2 linked regions of the Sus scrofa genome follow. The protein of the gene in region 1 purifies or fractionates together with the protein of each later gene. This does not show direct contact. Links are inferred from orthologs where the notes say so. Each region holds a gene or a part of one and is shown in the gene's direction. Other genes may lie near its edges. The genes, in order: ABCC1 and VDAC3.

Region 1 (11,559 bases):
GGTGGCTGGCTGCTTGGATGTGTGGGTTGTGGGAGTGGGTGGATGGAGAGATGGGTAGATGGATGGATGGATGCACTGGTGCATGGATGGGTGGGTAGGTGGATGGATGGGTTCACAGATGGGAGGATAATTCTGTCTGTGGGTGGATGCAGAGATGTATGGATAGATGAGCTGCCCTGAGGAGGACTAAGTGGGACCAGGACCGGAAGCAGGAAATGGGTAGGACGCTACTGCAAACCCAGGCAGGGGGTCATTGGGGCAAGGATCAGGTTATTGAAGTCTCACATACAAACTGAGCTTCTTATATACGTAACTGTATATATTAAGTCCTAGCATTGTTTTCTTACTAGAAAGGCAGATTCCTTTGGAATGAGCTTTTTCTGGCAATTGCTCAGAAACTGTTTTGTATGTAATAGCCACCAGCAGTTTAATCCCCTTTCCACCAGCAGCTTAAGAATTATAAGAGGTATGAATTCATCAAATTAGTCTTTGACATAAACCACAGCTCTTGATGACCAGATTCTTATTTCCAAGGCTGTCTTCTCAATGCCCATGTCCACAGAGGCGTGACCTTTATCCTTTTTCAGGTTTAGAAGTTTCCTAGCTAAATCCTTTGGTGTGTGTTGACCTGTTCAAATTTACTTTTCAGTGATTCCTTGTTCTTGGTTCTGGAAAAATAACCTTTCGTATCATCAAATAATTATACCTCTGAAGAACCAGTTTGAGTACTTGCTTATTTAATACCTAGGGCGTTCTGTCTTTTTTAAAGTCAAATTCTTGGGAGTTCCTGTTGCGGCTCAGTGGTAACGAACTCGACTGGTATCCATGAGGACACGTGTTCAATCCCTGGCCTGGCTCAGTGGGTTAAGGATCCGGCATTGCCTTGAGCTGTGTTGTAGGTCACAGATGTGGCTCCGATCCCATGTTGCTGTGGCTGTGGTGTAGGCCGGCAGCTACATCTCCGATTTGACCCCTAGCCTGGGAACCTCCATATGCCATGGCTGCAGCCCTAAAAAAGACCAAAAAAAAAAAAAAAAAAAAAGTCAAATTCTTCCTTTTTTTTTTTGCCTTGCCCAAGGTATGCAGAAGTTCCTGGACCAGAGGTTGAATCTGTGCCACAGCACTAACCTGAGCCAAAGCAGTGACAACACTGGATCCTTAACCACTAAGCCACCAGGGAATTCCAAATCTTATGTTTTCTTTCTTTTTTGACTGCCCCATGGCATCCGAAATTCCCAAGCCCACAGATCAGATCTGAGCCACATTGTCACTCAGCTGCAGCTGCGGCAACACCAGATCCTTAAGCCATCGTGCCAGGCCAGGGATTGAACCTGTGTCCCAGCGCTCCCAAGACACCGCAGATCCCGGTGCGCCACAGCGGGAACTCCCTTTCTTATTGAACCATCTTAATGTTTTTACGTGTACACTCCAGTAGTGTTAAGTATGCTCACGCTCTTGTGTGCAGCTAGGCCTCTTTTTTGAAAAGCTAGGAACAAATATTTTGATCGATCGTGAAATGTCTCTAAGTGAAATGATCCTCATGGTCCCATTGCTTTCTGTTCTTTAACGTTCTTTGATGTACTTGAGGTAGCTTGTGTGGAGTCCTCAGACTCCATGGTCCCTAGAGTTCCTTGGTGATCTCGTTTATCTGACTGTGGGAAGGCTGTTGGAGTCGGAGCTGCCTGGAGGTGTCTGGAGAGCTCATTGTCCGGTGGTGGAGAGAGGATGCTTGGGGAGGGGCTGCCTGGGGACTGGCCAGCTGGATTGCCTGCACCTTATCCAGAGACCAGCTACAACCTAGCCCCCCTTAATGATTGTGAAGTGGGAATATGGGCCCAGTGCTGCTAGTTTTCTGTTTTGTTTTTTTTTTAAAGAGATACCAGAAATCCATTTTTTTAAAATGTGAAATTTCCTGCTTTTAAATGTTGGCAGCTAACCTAAGTTTTTTTTTTTTTTTTTTGCTTGTTTTTTTAGGGCCACACCTGCTGCATATGGAAGTTTGTAGGCTAGGGGTCAAATTGGAGATGTAGCTGCTGGCCTACACCACAGCCGCAGCAACAGCCATGTGGGATCAGAGCCACCTCTTTGACCTATACCACAGCTCGTGGCAACACCGGATCCTTAACCTACTGAGTGGGGCCAGGGATTGAACCTTCATCCTCATGGATCCTACTCAGGTTCATTAACTGCTAAGCCACGAAGGGAACTCCACAGGTGGTTTCTGAGAAAATAAAAGTAATGAAAACAAATTTCTTTTCAGGGCTGGATAGCTTTAGTGGTTAAATGTGGGCACTTCAGAACCAAATCACACGAGTTTGAGTTTGAACAGTCAGATCATACCGACTGTTGAAATACTACACAGATCACTCAACCTCTCTGTGCCTTAGTTTTCCCTTCTGAAAAAGGAATGGTAATTATAGAATTAAAGGAGATAGTACATTTAAGGAATTTGGAATAGGGCCTGGAGCAGTCTGGGGAGTTTCTGTCATGGCTCAGCGGAAACAAATCTGACTAGCATCCATGAGGACCCAGGTTTGATCCCTGGCCTCGCTTAGTGGGTTAAGGATCCGGCGTTGCCATGAGCTATGGTGTAGGTTGCAGACGAGGTTTAGATCCCTCATTGCTGTGGCTGAGGCATAAGCTGGTGGTTGCAGCTCTGATTCGACGCCTAGCCTGGGAACCCCATATGCCACGGGTGTGGCCCTAAAAAAGCAAAAGCAAAAAAAAAATAACCTTGCAGATTGGGTGTTATCCATGCTGCTGACACTAATGGTGGTGATGATGATGAAAGTGACATGATAGAGCTGATTGGTGGTGTTGATGGTCCTGATGAAAGTGATGATGACGGTGCTGATGAAAGCAGTCGTGTGGTGATGATGCTGATTAAAGTGGTTGTGATAGGAGTTCCCATCGTGGCTCAGTGGTTAATGAACCCGTCTAGTATCCATGAGGACACGGGTTCGAACCCTGACCTTGCTCAATGGGTTAGGGATCCGGCGTTGCCTAGAGCTGTGGTGTAGGTCACAGACACGCTTGGATCCTGCATTGCTGTGGCTGTGGCGTAGGCTGGTGACTACAGCTTTGATTTGGCCCCTGGCCTGGGAACCTCCATATGCTTTGGGTGCGGCCCTAAAAAGACAAAAAACAAGAGAAAACAACAAAGAGAGAAAGTGGTCATGATAGTGATGATGCTGATGGTGATGGTGCTATTGATGCTGATGAAAGTGGTCATCATAGTGATGATGCTGATGGTGATGATGCTAATGATGCTGATGAAAGTGGTCATGCAGATGAAAGTGGTCATGATGGTGATGATGCTGATGCTCTTGATGCTGATGAAAGTGGTCATGATGGTGATGATGCTGATGGTGATGATGCTGATGATGCTGATGAAAGTGGTCATGATGGTGATGATGCTGATGGTGATGATGCTAATGATGCTGATGAAAGTGGTCCTGATGGTGATGATGCTGATGGTGATGATGAAAGTGGTCATGATGGTGATGATGCTGATGATGCTGATGCTGATGATGCTGATGAAAGTGGTCATGATGGTGATGATGCTGATGGTGATGATGCTGATGATGCTGATGAAAGTGGTCATGATGGTGATGATGCTGGTGGTGATGATGCTAATGATGCTGATGAAAGTGGTAATGATGGTGATGATGCTGATGGTGATGATGAAAGTGGTCCTGATGGTGATGATGCTGATGGTGATGATGCTGATGATGCTGATGCTGATGATGCTGATGAAAGTGGTCATGATGGTGATGATGCTGATGGTGATGATGCTAATGATGCTGATGAAAGTGGTCATGATGGTGATGATGATGGTGCTGATGAAAGTGGTCATGTTAGTGATGACAGTGATGCTGATGCCGATGGAGATCATGGTGTTGGGGGAGAATATTAGAAAGCTCTTAATTCACAAGATTGCAAAGGAGAAATGATTTATGTAACTAAAGGATGCCTCTGTTTCCAGAATACCTTTAGAGATTCCTCTAAACGGCAGTCTACCGTCTTTTGTACAATAATGGAACTTGCCACAGGTCCCAGGAACTTAACTGGTGGGTGAGAGGAGACATACCATCATCCCTCATTCCTTGTTTTGTGGTCTTTCTGGCTACCGCTCGTTCCAGTTTGCCTGTTCTCTCTGCGAGGGCCTCAGTTGTAGGGGTCTTGTCTGTTTTCTTAAAACCCACAGCAGCTGGTTTTGAACTCCACACTGGCCCCCTGCCCAAGCTCTTTAGGGCACCCCGTTGACCCTGAGCCTGTGTTTGTTTCCGCAGGAGTGGAACGTCACGTGGAACACCAGCAACCCCGACTTCACCAAGTGCTTTCAGAACACCGTCCTCGTGTGGGTGCCTTGCTCTTACCTCTGGGTCTGCTTCCCCTTCTACTTCCTCTATCTCTCCCGCCATGACCGGGGCTACATTCAGATGACACATCTCAACAAAGCCAAAACTGTAAGTCACGGGTTTTATCGTGATGTGTGTGTCAGGGTGTGGGTGTGCTGGGGTCGGGAGTGGTGGTTGTGAAAACTGTCATGTTTCTGCTACTTACTTGGCCCTGAGTTCCTTTTCTAGGAGACAGAATGATAACGTAATAGGAATTCCCATTGTGGCTCAGCAGAAATGAATTTGACTAGCATCCATGAGATTGCGGGTTCGATCCCTGGCCTCGCTCAGTGGATTAAGGATCTGGTGTTGCCGTGAGCTGTGGTGTAGGTTGCAGACATGGCTCGGATCTGGTGTTGCTGTGGCTATGGTGTAGGCCAGCAGCTACAGCTCTGATTGGACCCCTAGCCTGGGAACCTCCATATGTCGCGGGTGTGGCCCTAAAAAGACAAGGCAAAAAAAGAAAGAAGGAATAATAACCTCATAGGTAAAGGCTAGGGCTCTGGGTTCAGATGTGTGTTCAGATGTGGACTCTGCCACTGGCTCACTGTATGACCTTGAGCAAATGTCTTTTTTTTCTTCCGGTTTTATTGAGATATAATAGGCAGACAGCATGGTGTACGTTTAAGTGTACAGCCTAATGATTTGACGGGCATGCATCATGAAATGATTATTGCAGTAAGTTTCATGAACATCCACCATCTCATATAGATACTAAATTAAAGAACTAGAAAAAAAATTTTTTTCCCTTGAGCAGCTTTCTTAACCTCCCTGAGCCTCAGTTAACTTATCATATCAGTGGGGATGATAGACTTTATCTCAGGAGCTCATCCAGAGATTTGACCAAAGATGTCTTTTTAACTGAAAAAAGCTTTTATCTTGAAGAAATTTCAAACTACAGAGAAGTTGCAAGAACAGTACTTAGCACTCCCAGCAGCCTGGTATGCACCTTACTCAGTCACCAATTTTTAACATTTGCTACATGTTACATCATCCCTTTCTCCCCCCCCCTTTTTTTTTGGTCTATTTGGGGCCACACTCGAGGCATGTGGAAGTTTCCAGGCTCCGGGTTGAAAGACATGCTCAGAGCTGCAGCTGCCGGCCACAGCCACAGCAACATGGGATCCAAGCTGTGTCTGTGACCTATAACACAACTCACAGCAATGCTGGATCCTTAACCCACTGAGCGAGGCCAGGAATCGAATCTGCATCCTCATGGATACTAGTCGGATTTGTTACCACTGAGCCACCACGGGAACTCAAACCTCATCTCACTCTTTTGCTTTCTCCATAGATACATATTATTTATTTTTTCTGGATCATTTGAGAATAGCTAGCATCCATCCCGCCCCTTTACCCCTGATTCTTCAATATATCTTTTCTCGAAACAGGGATATCCTCTTACATAACAGGACAGTTATCAAGTTCAGGAAATTTAACATGGACATGATACTTAAAAAAAAAAAAAAAAGTCTACTATGAGAAGTTCCCTCCAAGGCTCAGTGGGTTAAGGATCTGACTGTGGCAGCTCAGGTCACTCCAGAGATGCCTGTTTGATCCTGGGCCTGGGGCAGTGGTTTAAAGATCTGGTGTTGCCAGCAGCTGTGGTTTAGGTCACAGCTGTAGCTGGAATTCCATCCCTGGTCCAGGAACTTCCATATGCTGCAGGTATGGCCACACACACACACACAAAAAAAAAAAACAAAACAAAAAAACTACTATGTATGTTCCATTTTTGTCACTTGTCCCAATACTACCCTTTCTAGCATCTCCACCCTCTTCCCCCCAGTCCAGGGTCATACACTGCATTTAGACACACTGTCTGTTTATTTTTCCTGTAATTTTGGAAGAATTGTTCACCTTTATTTTTTATGACACTGGCATATTTGGAGAATGCGGACCAGTTAATTTTGTCCGTTCCCCAACTTGGGTGTTGGGGCAACGTTTCCTCACGATTAGATTCAGCTAATGCCTGTCTGGCTAGAAAACTACAAAAGGGATGTGGGGTCCTTCTCTGGGTTACATCTAAGGCCCCTTGGTGTCCATCTGCCCCTCCCTGATTGGCTTGCATTTTTTTGGCCATGTCCATGGCCTGTGGCAGTTTCTGGCCCAGGGATGGAACCCGTATCCCAGCGGTGACCCAAGCCATAGCAGTAAGAATACTGGATCTTTAACCTGCTGCACTGCAGGGGAACTTCCTGATGGGCTTAATTTTGATCATTTGGTGGGTGTGTCTGCTTTCTCTACTGGGCAGGTTCTGGTTGTCCCCTGTAAGGATGAATGTTTTTGGGGAGACGTGGAGGATACCTGTACATCCTGTTCTTCATCCCTCTTTCTCCTCTTGGCGTGTGTCTGTCCTTTTTTATCTTTTTAGATTAAAATTTTTTTCTATACCATGTATCAGTTTTTTTTTTTTTTTTTTAATTATTGGAGCCTAGTCGACTTCCACTGTTGCGTTGGCTTTTGGCGCACAGCAGAATGCTTCCATTATCCATGTACGTACCCCATTCCTTCTCAGATTCTTCTCCCATGTAGATTATTACAGAGCATGGAGTTGATTTCTCTGTGCTGTACCCCAGGTCCTTGTTACTTAAGAATGTTAGATATAGAAGTGTGTCTTTATCAATCCCGACCTCCCGGTTTATTCCTCCCCCCAGTGTTTTCCCTTTGGTAACCATAGGTTTGGTTTTGAAATCTTCGAGTCTGTTTTGTGAGTAAGTTCTTTTGTATCTTTTTTTTTATGTCGGATTCCACGTATTAGTGATCGCATATGAAATTTGTCTTTATCAGTCCTTTTTTTTTTTTTTTTTTTTTTTTTGGCTGTGCCTGTAGCATACAGAAATTCACAGGCAAGGGATGAAACCCACAGCACAGCAGTGACCCAAGCCATAGCAATGACAATGCCAGGTCCTTAACTTGCTGAGCCACTGCGGAACTCCTATCAGGACTGTATTGCCCAAGATTTATTTCCATAAGCCCTTGGCAAACAGGAAAAACTTGAGTGATTTTACTGAAGCTGTCTCCTCGCCCTTAATACTGCCACCCAAATCCATCTCATTCGGACCACAATCCAAGCCTATCTCAAAATGCTGTCTGCTCCCCTGTCCTCAACTAGATACAGTGTCTTCTTCTTAGACCTCTGGGAGCACTTTGTACTTTTCTTGGGGAAGAATATCTCCCTTTAAAAGCTAAATCAGATTTTGTTCATGCCTTGCTCAACAGCCCTCTGGCAGCTTCTCTTCACAGGGAATAACATCTGGACGTCCTCCTACAGGCCCAATTCAATCTGGCTCCAGGCTCCTCTTCAGCCACCTCCTACCACACACGCAGCCCATGCCACAGCAGCCACAGACCTGCTGAACACATTCCTACCTCAGGACCTTTGCACCTGCTGTTTCCTCTGCCTGACTTGTTCTTTCCTTCAAGTAGTCACTCTTGGCTCTTTACCCAGATGTCTCCTGATCAGAGAGGCCTTCTCTGACCACCCTGTCTTACCTGTTTTATTTCACCTCGTGTCATTTGTTCCTCTCTGGTATGAAAGTATGTATTTTTTATTTATTTTATTTTGTTTTTTATTTAAAAATTATTATAGTTGATTTATAATGTTCTGTCAATTTCTTTCGTACAGCAAAGTGACCCAGATTGTATGTATATACATATATACATTCTTTTTCTCACCTTATCCTCCATCATGTTCCATCACAAGTGATTAGATCCAGCTCCCTGTGCTATGCAGCAGGATCTCATTGCTTATCCACTCCAAATGCGATAGTTTGCCTCTACTAGCCCCAAACTCCCAGTCCATCCACTCCCTCTGCCTCCCCTTTGGCAACCACAAGTCTGTTCTCCAAGTCCATGAATTTCTTTTCTGTGGAAAGGTTCATTTGTGCCGTATATTAGATCCAGGTATAAGTGAGATCACATGGTAGTTATCTTTCTCTTTCTGACCTACTTCACTTAGCATGAGAGTCTCTGTTCCACCCATGTTCCTACAAAGTAAGTATGTATTTTTTAGATTGTTGCTTGCCTGTTTCCTGCCAGGGGAATCAAAGCTCCATGAAGGCAGGGACTTTTGTCTGTTTTTTTCTCTGTTGTATCCTTGTCACCTTGGGGAGTATGTGGCCCATAGTTAGACCCCCAGTAAGTTCTGGTTGGATGCATGATGCTGTTGATACCTGGCCATTATGTGAGGGGCCCCGTGCTGGCTGCCAGGGTTGCGGATGTAGATGAGCCGGAGACTTGAGTTTTCAGGTGCCGAGGAGAATACTGAGCAGACAAATAGACTTGTGTCTGGGGTGTGGGAGGGGCTGCAGACCAGTATGTGACGGCCCCGATGGTGGCTCCCCCTACCTTGGGCTCGTCTGTGTTGCATAGGGTCCGTGCTGACTCCAAAGACCACAGCTGATGGTTTGGGGGTTGGCTGGTCCTCTAGAGGCTAGGCCTTTTGCAGGGATGCTGGGGGAAGTTCCGGTGCCAGCCATTGTAAGATGTACATGTACTTCTCTTTCAGGCCTTGGGATTTTTGCTATGGATTGTCTGCTGGGCAGACCTCTTCTACTCTTTCTGGGAAAGAAGTCTGGGCAAGCTCCTGGCCCCAGTGTTTCTGGTCAGCCCAACCCTCTTGGGCGTCACCATGGTAAGTAGGGGCTGGCACTGTGGAGACCAAAAGTAGTGGCTGGCATTTAGAAACAACAGGATCTCCCAGTAGAAATCCAGCAATCTGGCTGTGTTAGGTGAATTTGGTTTGGTCTTGTGGGGGGCCCAGAGAGGAAAGGGTGATGGAGCTAAGGCCCAAAGGATGAGCAGGGTATCAAAAAGTTGAAGGGACTGGGGGCATAGGATGATCCAGCTGCAGAGAATAGCACATTCAAAGGTCCTGGGGTGGGGTAGAGGGAGAAATTGAGAGTTGGTCTGTGTGCTGGGGACAGAGAGAGTGAGGAGGAGCGGAGGGGGCTGGGACGGCAGGAAGGGCAGAGGGCTGACCATATAGGACCTTGAGCTTCAGGGTAAGTGGGTTCTATCTTGTTTTTCATCCCCAAAGCTGGGTTCTAAACCTTTTTTAAATGCCATGGGTCCCTTTCTTCTTTACCAGTCCTGTCTCCTTCTCAAAAAAATGTTCTTAAAGTCATAAAACATACAAGCTAACAAAAGAAACCATCCTACACACACACACACACACACACACACACACACACACACACGTGCAATTTTGTGATGTGCATTTGTATTTTTACTGAAGTTTAATTTATGTAAACCTTTTTCCTTGAACAATTCATGAGTTTTGACGAACAGATGGTGTCAGGTTAGGTACCATCTCCACATTAGGGATATAGGACAGTTCCATCATCCCACAAAGTTCCCTGGCATGGGCCCCTTTGTCGTCAGCCCTTCCCTCCCCCACCTCCTCCGCTGGCAACTGCTGCTGTGTTTCCTGTCCCTATGGGGTTGCCTTTTCCAGAATGTCATGTGGATGGAACCACACAGGCAGCCTGAGTCTGACTTCTCAGCCCCTGAAGTTCAGAAGATCTTTTTTTTTCAGAGTTGCTTGGTATATTTGATGTGTGGCTTCAGCCCACATTGCTTATCCATGCTTTAGTTATAGGACATTTAGGCTGGGAAACCAATGATCTTTAATCACAGAAACCTAAAAAGCCAAGTTGAGGGAGTTCCCAGTGTGGCTCAGTGGATTAGGACCCTGACTAGTATCCATTATCCATGAAGACTAGCTGGTTTGATCCCTGGCCTCGCTCCGTAGGTGAAGGATCCAGTGTTGCCCTGAGCTGTGGTGTAGGTCACAGATGCAGCTTGGATCACGAATTGCTGTGGCTGTGGTGTAGGCTGGCAGCTGCAGCTGTGATTCAACTCCTAGCCTGGGAACGTCCACGTGCCATGGGTACGGCCCTAAAAAATAAATAAATACATAAAATAATAAAAAGCAAAGTAAAAATACCCATGCTTTACTAATGCATTTCAGATCAAGATCTGCTGTCCAAATAGGGACGGCCCGTGTGTAATAGTCTGAGACTTGTTCAGTTCTCTTTGTCTCTGTTTTTCCTTTTCTTTCACTTGTAAGCGGTGGTGCTGATGAGGGAACGTGAAGCTGGACTTGTGTCCTCTTTAAGTTCAAGGACCCCTGGGTTCTATCCAGAGCCTGTCCTTGGACCCCAGGTTAAAACCCACCTCCTCAAGGGAAAGGTTTTGAACAAGGCTCTGCTGTGCCCAGATGTGCCTGTTTAAGAGCTGACCATGGCCCCCGAGTGGAGAATGGATTGTGGGGCAGGGGTGGAACCTGGGAGGCCAGTGGGGCTCTGGGGGGCGGGTCACCTGGCATGAGGATGGAGGCCGGGGCCGGGGTGAGGGGCAGGTAAATGGAGGATGGGCTTTGGTGGCAGAGTCAGCGTGAGTGGCTGATGGGTTAGAGGTGGGGAGTCGGCGTGGGGGACTGAGGAGGACGAATGAGGACAGACGGACAGATATATTTCTGGCTGGAGCAGCTGGGGGGTGAGTGGAGGCGCCGTGGGGGACCGCAGCACTTTGGGATCCAGCTGGTGACCGTGAGCAGTGTTGGGAGCTGCCACCGGGAGCCGCTCTGCTCCTCTGGGAAATGGCCCTGACCTTTCCTTCTTTCAAGGAAAAGTAGTTTCATTGCTTATTTTTTTTCTCCTGATCGCTAAGTCAGTGTGTCACATGCAAGTCCAGGCTCCAGGTATCAGAAGTGAAATAAAATCTCAGTCCCTGTACCACAGGTGTTCTCATTAAGTTCCCTGAAAACGAACGTGTGACCCGCGCAGGTTAAGGAACCTGCGTTTGCTTCTCTGCCAACTGGGGTTGATAACACGTTGTACCGGGTTAGTGCGTGTGAATCGTGCTCCACGGTGAAGATGACAGACACTCAATAAAGGAAGCGGTTACCACTGCTGCCCAAAGCAGAACCAGTCAGAGACGGGACTGGCCCTTCGGCTCTAAGTCGAGGGTTGGCACACCTTATGTCTTTGTAAATAAAGTTTTATTGGCACCCAGCCCTGTCCGCTCCTCCGTGGATCATGTAAGGCTGCTTTCAAAATACAGTGCAGACGTGCGTGGTTGCGACAGAAACTCTGTGGCCCACAAAGCCTAAAATATTTACCCTCTGATCCTATCAGGAAAAGGGTGCCCATCT
Region 2 (11,624 bases), on another chromosome or scaffold:
CAGAGCTACAGCTGCCAGCCTACACCACAACCACAGCAACGCTAGATCCGAGCTGCATCTGTGACCTACACCACAGCTCATGGCAACGCCGGATCCCCAACCCACTGATCGAGGTCAGGGATCAAACCCTCGTCCTCATGGATACTAGCCGGTTTCACTACCGCTGAGCCACAAGGGAGCTCCTTGGTTAGCTTTTCTTTACCTTGGTTCCTTCCGCCCCCTTGTGGCCAAGAGTGAAGTGAACACCCAGAAGGCCCAACGTAAGTTCCAGGTACTGATCCCAGAGGCATTTTCCAGCTTGGGAGGGAAATTCTCTATGGAACAGAACCCCTTCTCATGAACCTAGGTACTTCCCCATCTTATGAAAGTGAGTTCAAGTTTTCTAATTACAATAGAAACACGTTTTGTTCCACCCTTATTTTTTTAACTGATCATCAAATTTACCAAAACACATGGCTGTACCATATTTCAGAATATGAATGTATTATAGTTTAAGAAATCCTTTAAATGTTGGCCATTTAGGTTGCTTTTAATTTTTTTGCTACTGTAATTCATTCAAGATATTCAAAATAAATCTTTGCACAAGTCTGTTTCCTTGAGTCCAGTCCTCAGACATAGAATGTCAGGGTATGAAATTAACATAAAATATAAAACAACATAGTCTTGAATCTCTGTCCCTTGTGCTGGGAGCCCTTTCCCTCTCATCCACCTGACTCATCCTTTCACCGCTGGGTCCCTGGGCTCCGAAGTTTCCTTGGAAGAGGCCCAGGGACAGGGCTTGCACCTCCTCTTCTCCAAAGTTGCCATCAGCTACTCGATGCATCCTCGCCCTCAGTGTCAGAATTCTGGAGTCCTTGAAAACAAGTGGGCCCTTTCTTTTTAAAGAAACAGGGACTTAAATAACACCACTGACAGAGTTCCCGTTGTGCCTTAGCAGTAAAGAACCTGACTAGTATCCATGAGGATGAGAGCTCAATCCCTGGCCTTGTTCAGTGGGTTAAGGATCCAGCATTGCCAAGAGGTGTGGTGTAGGTTGCAGAGGTGGCTCGGATCCTTCCTTTCTGTGGCTGTAGCTAGAGGTTGGCAGCTACAGTTCCAATTTGACCCCTAGCCTTGGAACTTCCATATGTCACAGGTGCGGCCCTAAAAAAGACAAAATAAATAAATAATACCATGGCTTCAGAATCTTAATTTTCCTTCCACTCAGGGCCATGGAGTCGTCAAACCTTCACAGTGGGGCTTCTCAATTTCGTGGGGTCTTTTTTTCTTTTCTTTCCTTTTTTTTTTTTTTTTTTTTTTTTTTTTTTGGTCTCTTTGCCTTTTTCTATGGCCGCTCCCGTGGCATATGGAGGTTCCCAGGCTAGGGATCTAATCGGAGCTACAGCTGCTGGCCTACGCCAGAGCCACAGCAATGCAGGATCCGAGCCCCGCCTGCAACCTACGCCACAACTCACGGCCACACCAGATCCTTAACCCACTGAGCAAGGCCAAGGATCGAATCCGAAACCTCATGGTTCCTCGTCGGACAACGGGAACTCCTGTTTTTCATTTCTGAAGGAAAAACTATACTAACCTAAGATTCTCCCTCCCAAAGGTACTCAGGCAGATGAGCAAGTTTTCCGATTAGAGCAGGTGATCTGTGTTGGGGGCCCCCCTGGAACGCACATGGCATGCACAGGTCAGGGACATGTCGGGGTGTGTGCTCAACCATGAGCACGGTGCCCTGTACATAATGAGCACTTGGCAAATGTCTCAGCAGCAAAGTCTAAAGCCCTGTCCCTGCTCTAAATTTCTGACTCCAGAGATTTTACAGGAGAAGAACGCCATGTTATTAGGATTTTTTCCTATGCTTTCTGCACGTCCCCAGAGTTTTAGAGCCCAGTGTGTGCGTGCATGCATTTGTGTGTGTGTGTGTGTGTGTGTTGGCAGGGTGAGAACCTGCTATAATTTGGAGGTGGCCAAGGCCAGAGGCTTGATATGGATGTTCAGTTATAACGTGGATCCTGCTTAGCCGACAGGACCAGAGGGACAGGAAGCAAAGGAATGATTCCCTCTGCAGCTGCTGTTTTCCTTAATTTCTTTCATCACTTTCCTGCAGCACGTGCTGGGGGAAAGAGGAGTCTCTCCGTGCATGACCTGGGACAGGTGTTTTCAGGAGAAAAGTCTTTGGGATTTCCCTTGTGGCCTAGCAGATTAAGAATCCGACGTTGTCACTGCTGTGGCACCAATTTGATCCTTGGCCAGGGACCCTCTGCACGCCTCGGGCATGAAGCCAAAGGAAGAAATGTTGCCAAATTCCCATTCAAAGTGCCTTTACAAGGAGTTCCCATTGTGGTTCAGCGGTAACGTGCCAGACTAGTATCCATGAGGTTTCAGGCTCAATCCTGGCCTTGCTCAGTGGCTTAAGGATCCAGCGTTGAAGTGAGCTGTGGTGTAGATTGCAGACATGGCTCAGATCCCGAGTTGCCATGGCTATGGAGTAGGTCTGCAGCTACAGCTCTAACTGGACACCTAGCCTGGCTTTCATATGCTGCAGGTGCAGCCCTACAAAGGAAAAAAAAAAGTGCTTTTTACAACCTTTAATGGCCTGCTTTACCAGACAAAGGCCACGTCTGTGTCAAAGTACAGGCTGGAGTTCTGGTTCTGATATTCATATGTACCTGAATAAACAGAGGTTTGCCTGTATAGCTTTGAATCACTTACAGCGTATTTTCATCTTGTGTAATTAACTAAAGAACACTTTCCATATGTCAGGTAGATTGTTATGTGCTATGGACACATGATTTCGCTTACTATCCACTTCAACACTCTGAAGCAGACCTTACTTAGTTATGTTGCATGGACGTAGAAGCTGAGCATAGAGAGGTTAAGCCGCTCAGCAAAGACCAGAGTTGGCCGAGCTGAGATACACACCCAGGCTCTTTTGACTCCAAAGCTCATTTTATTTAGCCTACTAAGTTATATTTGCTTTGCTGATAACATTGATCTTATTCTGCCTTCTTTGGCAGGTATTTGTCCAAGTCTTCCATTATGAGTCCTTTGGGAGCATTCATCTCACTTATCTCTTATTAGCCTGAAATGCTTTACCTCCAGCAGGGAAATAATATTTGTCTTTTTTTTGTTTTTTGTTTTTTCTAGGGCCGCTCCCACGGCATATGGAGGTTCCCAGGCTAGGGGTCCAATCGGAGCTGTAGCTGCCGGCCTACGCCAGAGCCACAGCAACGCAGGATCCGAGCCGTATCGGCAACCTACACCACAGCTCACGGCAACCCCAGATCCTTAACCCATTGAGCAAGGCAGGGATCGAACCTGCAACCTCATGGTTCCTAGTCAGATTTGTTAACCACTGTGCCACAACGGGAACTCCCAATATTTGTCTCTTGATTCAAGCAGCAATCTGGTATCAATGACTGAATATCAAAGACTTCGTGGGGGTTTTTTCTCCCTAATTTTTTGTTTTGAAAAAAAATTTGTTTTGGCTGTGTCCAATACACATGGAAGTTCCTAGGCCAGAGATCAAACCCCTGCCACAGCAGTGACCCAAGCCACAACAGTGACATTGCTGGATCCTTAATACACTGTGCCACAAGGGAACTCCTAGTTTGAAAAATTTTAAACTTCTAGCAAAGTTTAAAGAATAATGCAACAGGAGTTCCCGTCGTGGCGCAGTGGTTAACGAATCCGACTAGGAACCATGAGGTTGCAGGTTCGGTCCCTGCCCTTGCTCAGTGGGTTAACGATCCAGCGTTGCCGTGAGCTGTGGTGTAGGTTGCAGACGCGGCTCAGATCCTGCGTTGCTGTGGCTCTGGTGTAGGCCAGTGGCTGCAGCTCCGATTTGACCCCTAGCCTGGGAACCTCCATATGCCGAAGGAGCGGCCCAAAAAATAGCAAAAAGACCAAAAAAAAAAAAAAAAGAAAAAAAAGAATAATGCAACAAACATCCATATATTATCCAAACTTTTTAAAAAAAAAATCATTTATTTTTTGTCTTTTTTTCCCTCTTTTTTTAGGGCTGCACCCATGGCATATGGAAGTTCCCAGGCTAAGGGCTGAATAGGAGCTGTAGCTGCTGGCCTACGCCACAGCCACAGGAAGGCCAGATCCGAGCCATGTCTGTGACCTACACCACAGCTCATGGCAATGCCAGATCTTTAACCCTCTGAGCAAGGCCAGGGATTGAACCCGCATCCTCATGGATACTAATCAGATTTGTTTCCGCTGAGCCATGACGGGAACTCCTCCCAACTCTTAACATTTTGTACGTTTTTTCCTTCTTTCTTGACCATTTGATATTTTGCAGTCACATGCTATTTTACCCCTAAATACTTCAGCACATATCTCCTAAAAAGCAGGCCATTTCTCTGTAATCGGGGTATAATCATTACCCTCAGAAAATTTTACATTATCATCCTAATATTGTCGATATTAAAATCTTCTCCATTGTTCCAATAATGATCCTCAAAGGTTGCTTTTTGTTTTTTGATGGAGGGTGCAATTTAGGATCATATTCCTCTCGTCACATCTTTGTTTTGTCTCTTTGCTTTAGAACAGTTCACCAACCTTTTTCTTACTATCTCATGAAACTGACATTTCAGAAGAGACCAGGTGGTTGTTTTGCAGACTGTCCCTCAATTTGGATTTGTCCAGTTGTTTCCTTATGAATAGACAAATCACTCCTTTGGCAAGAATAGGAGCACATGATGTCAGTCTGTACCATCCCAAGGTTGATCACTTGGTTGAGGGTGATTTCTTTGATGTAAAGGTACTCTTTTCTCTTTACTAAGTAATCTGTAGGATGATTGGAATTGTAGGAATATCCTCAATCATTCAGCATCTACTGGTAATTTTTGCTTGAGTTAATTACTGGTGGTTCCAAAGTGGTGACTTTCTATTTCTATAATTTTTTGCTACATTTATGAGTTGGAATTCTTCTCTAAAGAAGTGTTTTCTGTCCTCCAGCGGCTCCTCTCTCTTTGAAATTATAACCTACCCTGTGTCATCTTGATGAAGTCATGTCTCTTACTGCCTCGGCATCTGTTTTCTCATCCTTAAGATGAGATGACCTAAAAGCCACATTCTTGAATGTTGTCATTCTGAGACGAAATCCCCATACAGACTTGCCAGGCATCCTCAGAAAACAGCGCGCAAGTTGCTTGGGCCAGCATCTATCGCGGAGTGGGCGGTGCCTCAGCAACTCCGCCGCGCGGCCCCGCGGCCCCTCCCCTGGCAACGGTTACTATTAACCTCTCCTTCTCGCGAGAGGGGCCTCTTTCGGGGCAGAGGTGCGGTCCCGGGGCCTGCGCGCTCCACGTCAACCACCGCCCAGCCCTGCGCGCTGGGTGCCGAAGCGCACGCGCGCACTCGCGCACTCGGACAGTTGGAGGTGTTGGTCCGCCTCGGGCCCGCGGCGCGCGACCCCGGCGCGACACGCACGCGCGCAGCCGCGGCGCGCAGCCGCGGCGCGGGGCTCGGGGCGCGCAGGCGCCGCGGGCGTGGGGCCGCGCAGGCGCGGACGGCGTTGGTCTGAAGAAGACCTTCAGCCGTGCCCTGGCGGATCCGACAGGCCCTCGTAGCGGAGCCGACAGGCCCTCGGGTAGGAGGTGAGGCAAGCGGGGCCCCCGGGCTGGCGGCTGGGGCGGGGCGGCTGGGGCGGCGACTGGCAGGGGCCCGACGGGAGGCGGCTAACGGAGGGCACGGGAGGAGAGGGTCGCCTAACGGGGCGCGGGCCGGCGGAAGGCGGGGCAGCGGGGACTGGCCCCTCAGGTGATGGGACGCCGCTCCGCCACCTGCTCCCCTCCTTGCCGGCCACTGGGGCCCTCGCCGGGCGTCGGGTCGGCCGGGAGGTTGGTTTTGAGGGAAGTTGGGTCTTCGAACCCCGAACTCACTCGCGCCCCCGGCTTTCTCTCCGGAGTCGGCGTCCAGCTTCGGGGGTCTTCCACTCCCTGCGGCCGGAGGGAGGATGCTGAATGCACTGCTTGACGAGCTGCCGGTCCCGTTAGTGATGGTGTAAAGCTGTGTTGCTAACCCACTCCCTCCCCCCGACTGCGGCTAATGCAGCCCCGGAACGCCGTGCACGTCCACGGGCGAGTGCACTTGTAGAGTAATGGAAACGTGTGGAACGTGAAGTCTTCTCGAGCTTTTGCTTGATCATACCAGCAGTGCATTTCCCATCAGAATCACGGGCCTGAAGAAATAAGCTTGAACCAGGCGAACTTGAGGTCAAATCCCCTATACAACTTTTGCAAAGTGTCTGGCAGTAGTTTTGAAAACGAGGCACAATGCTAAGAAAGATTGTAATTGGTTCCTAGATGATGTTTCTAAACATTTAAGTGTATCTTTTCTCTTGTCAATAGATTAAGGCTTTACAGTCTAGTTTTGTTTTTTAACGTTTCTGTTTGAATATATAGTGCCTGCTTTTCTCTGCTTATCTCCCAACCTATAGACTTCTGACACAATTTCAACAGATACCTGCGTCAGTTGTGATCATAAAGAATACTATCAGATTGCAATTGGCAGGGTGTAAAAAGTCTAGAATTGATTATTTGAACACAAGGGAGTGAATTGTAAATTAATTTCTCTGGACCTGAACTATGAAACCTTGTGGTTTAAACCAAAGTTTTATTATGCTATGACTCAGTACATTTATCTTCTTTTATCTTTTCTATACGCTTTCCTCTTAACTTTGTATGTATTTTTATACTATATCATACTGTCTATCGTATTTGACAGGTCTAAGTTAAGAAAGAAATTTTAAATGGATTCACAATTAAGAAGTACACCATAGGGGTTCCCATCGTGGCTCAGTGGTAATGAACCCAACTAGTATCCATGAGGATACAGGTTTGATCCCTGACCTCGCTCGGTGGGTTAAGGATCCAGCATGGCCCTGAGCTGTAGTGTAGGTTACAGAGGTGGCTTGGATCCTGCGTTGCTGTGGCTGTGATGTAGGCCAGCAGCTGTAGCTCCGATTAGACCCCTGGCCTGGGAACTTCATATGCCAAGGGTGAGGCCCTAAAAAGACCAAAAAAAAAAAAAAAAAAAAGGAGGTACCATAAAGTGTGTGTTGTGTTCAGGTGTGTTGGGATGGGACAGAAACTTAGCAGAGGGCCAGATTAAGAGCTAGGCTAAATATAAATAAATAGCAGATTGAATGTGTATTTGCTCCAGGCATAGCAATAGCAAGGGCTAGCTGGTGCTCTAGATTTTTCTAGAGTAATGGGGAGTAGTAATGGGGTTGCTTGAAGCAGTTCTACAGTTGGTTAGACATGGCTTTTGAGGATACTGTAGGAGGAGATTTCCTGTTCTGCAAAGAGGGCAAAGGAAGCAGCAGTGTCGATAGGCCTGAAGATTTTGATGTGAGGGTCATATTGGCAGCAGAAAGGCTGTCTGAATAGTAAGTAGACAGGGTGAAAGATCAAGCAAGCACCTTGGGTTTTTGAAGGCTTTAACTTGAGAGTATACACTGATTTTTGTTAAGCCGATTACTTCAGGTAGAATCTAGCCTATTTCTGGCTAATAGGTAAGATTATAATACTTTATTTTAAGAGCTTTGAGAGAGGGCATATTCTGGATGGGTGTATTTCACTTATTCTTAGTTTAAGGACTGAATTTCAGAGTAGCCAAAATGTTAACCCTGAAGATTTTAAATTGCATCTCTTTTTCAGTTCCTCAGAAAATTTACCTTGTCATCTTATACAGCTCTTTGGCTTTATAACAGCCCAAGAAATACTTTTCTAATGTAAGTTTTTGCATTTTTAAAAAGTAAAAATATAGTTTTAAAAAAGCGTCTCCTTCAGCCTGTGAGAAATTTCTTTTCTTGGAAAGAGGTCAGAAAGATGACCTCTGTGAGTCTCATGAAAAAACCCTTTTATTCTCCAGTGTTCTGGAAAGCTCTTTTTAAAGGAGCAGAATGCTTTCTCTTAACCTTGCTGCATTAGGGTATAAGCATTAACGATGCAGAGGAAGAAAAAAATGTATACCTCTTTTCACAGGACCAAACAGTTGAACACAGAATAAATGCAAAATGGTTATTTTCATTCCTTTGTCCTCATTTTTTTTTTAAGATATGTGTAACACACCAACTTACTGTGATCTAGGAAAGGCTGCCAAGGATGTCTTCAACAAAGGATATGGTAAGTGTGCTATTGTAAATTACCAATTTGGGTAAGCATTAATACTGTATATATTAAGCTATATGGGAGATACTGTACTTGATAAAATGAGGTTAAGTCAACATTAATCTATTTCATAAGATTTAAGGGGATAACTATTAGCAGATTACTAGATCTCTTTTTTTTTTAGAGTTAGAGGCCCTCAAGCATTAAAAACCATTGTGTACATAAGCACATTTGCGTATTTTATATTATCTTTTGGGTGAAATAATATAAATCTGCAATATTTTGCTAGGGCCTTTTGCTAGGCCCTGGGGACAGTTAAAGTAGGGGACATATTTTTGCTCCTCCAAATAATGACAGTGCTTTCATTATTTGAGTGAAGATACAGCTTTTGACTTCTTTGGAGGAACATAGAGTGTTTGAAACCAAATAGACATTTATCTTTGGTGTTTAAATTTTTAATTTTTCGTGTTGTACTCATTTGATTTTTTATTTACTAATAATGTTAATTGTGTATTTTTATATTTAAAGCTTGTGTATATGTCTACATAATTTCTCTTAATTTTGATTCTTAAAATAGTATATGTTCCTTTCATCCATTTGTTTTTTAACTCATTTCAAAAATATGCCTTTAGTATTTTGAGGGACTTAAAAATTATACTTATTTTGTTATAATTCAGTTTCTTGTGGAACTCCCACTTAGTGAGAATACTGTGTATTTTCCATATAAAATGTACTGTGGAGTATTTTCATAATTTCTAAGTTGCAAAGACTAGAGTGCATGTTACATTTTGTACATTACTGTGTTTTTATGTGTGTGTCTAGGGTTTGGCATGGTCAAAATAGATCTGAGAACCAAGTCATGTAGTGGAGTGGTAAGTACTTAATGTATTTTTAATATATTTGACATAATTATCTTAAAGAAACCTGTTTAAAAATCATTGTTTTTTTTTTTTTTTTTTTTTTTTTTTGTCTTTTTAGAGCCGCATCCACAGCATATGGAGGTTCCCAGGCTAGGGGTCCAGATGGAGCTATAGCTGCCAGCCTACACCACAGCCACAGCAACGCCAGATCTGAGCAGCGTCTGTGACATGCACCACAGCTCATGGCAATGCCAGATCCTTAACCCACTGAGTGAGGCCAGGAATCGAACCCACAACTTCATGGTTCCTAGTCAGATTCGTTTCCGCTGCACCATGGCAGGAACTCCTAAAAGTCATTGTTTAGTCAGATTACTTGAATCACATGCTTTTCCTGCTAAGCTGTCTTCCCTACAGTCTTCTCCTCCTCTCAGGGAGACCCTTTGTGTCTGTCATAATAAGAGTGTTCTGAGTCTTATTCTTAAAAGGCGTGGTGTATGTATACACACACACACGTATATATGGGGGCATATATATATATATATATATATATATATTCCCATGTATATGCATTTTTTTTTGACCTATGCCATATCTTTATGCTTTCATGAATATGTATGTGGACACTAAAATCTTTGCCTCCATTATACTGGGTTCATGCAAATTTTATTGTCTTTTTATAAAAACAAAACTGATTTTAATCCTTTCATGATTAGTTGAAACAAATGTAGAAATACATGTAGAAGATTAGTCTACAGTACAGTTTTTATTGATGTTCATGAAATCTTTTTTACTGGAAGTTAAGAATATGGTAAGGGCTTATCAGCATATTGTCACAGCACCTTTAACTAGAGCTTTTATTCAGTAAGTCTCAGCATGTCAACTTGAGAGTCAATTTAGTCTTTGACTTCTCCTTATTGACTGTACCTTTTTTGTTTGGTATTTACCTGTTCGAACCAGTGCAAATTGTATTTCTGGATATAATGATTTAATTATAAAGATAAGAAGCACGTGGAGTAGTTATGGTACTGTGCCTTACATTCCGTATAATCCTGGTTTGTCACTATTATTCTTTCCCTGGGTTTTCCAAGGGTAAATATGTATATATCTGCCCTTCAGGATGGGATTTTGTTATATTGTCTGTTAAAATAGAAAATTTATACTCATTTCGATTAGGGTTTCTAAATTTGCTCAGGGTAGGTTTCTGTTGCAAAAATCAACAACTGAAATTTTTATCTCCCTCTCATGCTGCTGTTGTGTGGAAATATTCATTCAGATGGTAAGAAAAATAGCATATTTGTGTGCTTGTTTTTATGGCTGCTTTTTCTCTGGTACTGATTTAGGATAAATTTCAACCATTGCTCCAAATTTCTTAGATCATATCTTGATATTTTTGTGATACGTCATCTATAACAGTAACATGTTTATGAGTGTTTTGTTGTATACTAGCATTTAATGGAAAACTGTAGATATTATATGCATGTTATAAATAAAAATTTTACACTAGATAATTGTTTTATCTAATTATGCAATTAGACTAGAGTGGAAGTAACTGTGAGACTGGAACTCTGCTTAGGAAAATTCTGACCTTCTCTTTGAGATTTGTACCTCTGGCATTTTAGATTTTTGATAGAGCTTCAGACTAAGAAATGTCTGCTGATAATAAGAAAGAAATGTAGACTAAATACTCTTTTACCTTTTTTGCACGAAAATTAAGGTTTGTATTTGCTAATCTTTCAAGTTTATAAAAGGTACATATGAAAAATAAAGCATTAGGTAGTTAGATATATTAAAAGAAAGCGATATGACCTGTTAAACATGACCAGCATTTATCATTTTTTACCAAGGCCTTGCCTAAGTGTGCAGCATGATACTCTCTTTGAAAGCTTTCTGTGTGGTGCTGATAAACAGATCACAGTTTCCCAGTTGTTTCAACAGCTCATAGAACAAGAGTTGGGAGGAGGGTATTTGGTGAAGGGAGGATTCACACTGCAGGCAGTGAAACAGCTTGGCGGCCTTTGATGCCTGGTGGCAGTATTTCAGAAATGTTCTTTAAAAACAGGGCCAATCAGAATGTTTTTTCCTTGACAGTTGATAGACTGTCAGTGACAGGTGTTGACTGTTGGTATCCCTAGAAGGAGGTCAGTTTCTCATTGCTTATTGTCATGTGGCTGAAGGAATACCAAACTGGGGAGGAGGATATATTTTCAGGCACTCATAGTAACTGTTTGACAGAAAGTACTTTGAAAGGTAGATGGGGGAGAGGGAGGAAGAGGGAATAGTTAGAATATTCCATTTTATTATGAAAAATGGAATGATCCTTTCAAATATTGAAATTGTTTATGTGGAAAATTTTACAGATAGTTTTGTGGGTAAAAGCTGTAAGCCTTCCTAACAGTGAGAATTTATTTAATGCCAGTGAACTATACACATAAACATGGTTAAAATTGGGAGTTCCCATTGTGGCTCAGCAGGTTAAGAACCCAACATAGTGTCTTTGAGGATGCAGGTTCCATCCCTGGCCTCACTCAGTGGATTAAGGATCCAGCATTGCCTTAAGCTGTGGTGTAGGTCACAGACACAGCTTGGATCCTGCATTGCTATGGCTGTGGCTGGTGTAGGCCACAGCTGCAGCTCCAGTTCAACCCCC

What was found.
Region 2: the proteins of ABCC1 (region 1) and VDAC3 fractionate together in Homo sapiens (co-fractionation; 3 studies listed by BioGRID). This does not show direct contact. The link is inferred for Sus scrofa from reciprocal best matches to the Homo sapiens genes ABCC1 and VDAC3.

Annotation. Positions count from the first base shown.
Region 1 is NC_010445.4:28,465,652-28,477,210, reverse strand, and holds the start of ABCC1 (multidrug resistance-associated protein 1), read left to right. Parts: upstream 1-4,270; 5' UTR 4,271-4,442; coding exon 4,443-4,469; intron 4,470-8,910; coding exon 8,911-9,036; intron 9,037-11,559.
Region 2 is NC_010459.5:11,404,934-11,416,557, forward strand, and holds the start of VDAC3 (voltage-dependent anion-selective channel protein 3), read left to right. Parts: upstream 1-5,451; 5' UTR 5,452-5,600; intron 5,601-8,063; 5' UTR 8,064-8,065; coding exon 8,066-8,132; intron 8,133-8,939; coding exon 8,940-8,989; intron 8,990-10,250; coding exon 10,251-10,253; intron 10,254-11,624. UniProt on the Homo sapiens protein: Non-selective voltage-gated ion channel that mediates the transport of anions and cations through the mitochondrion outer membrane and plasma membrane.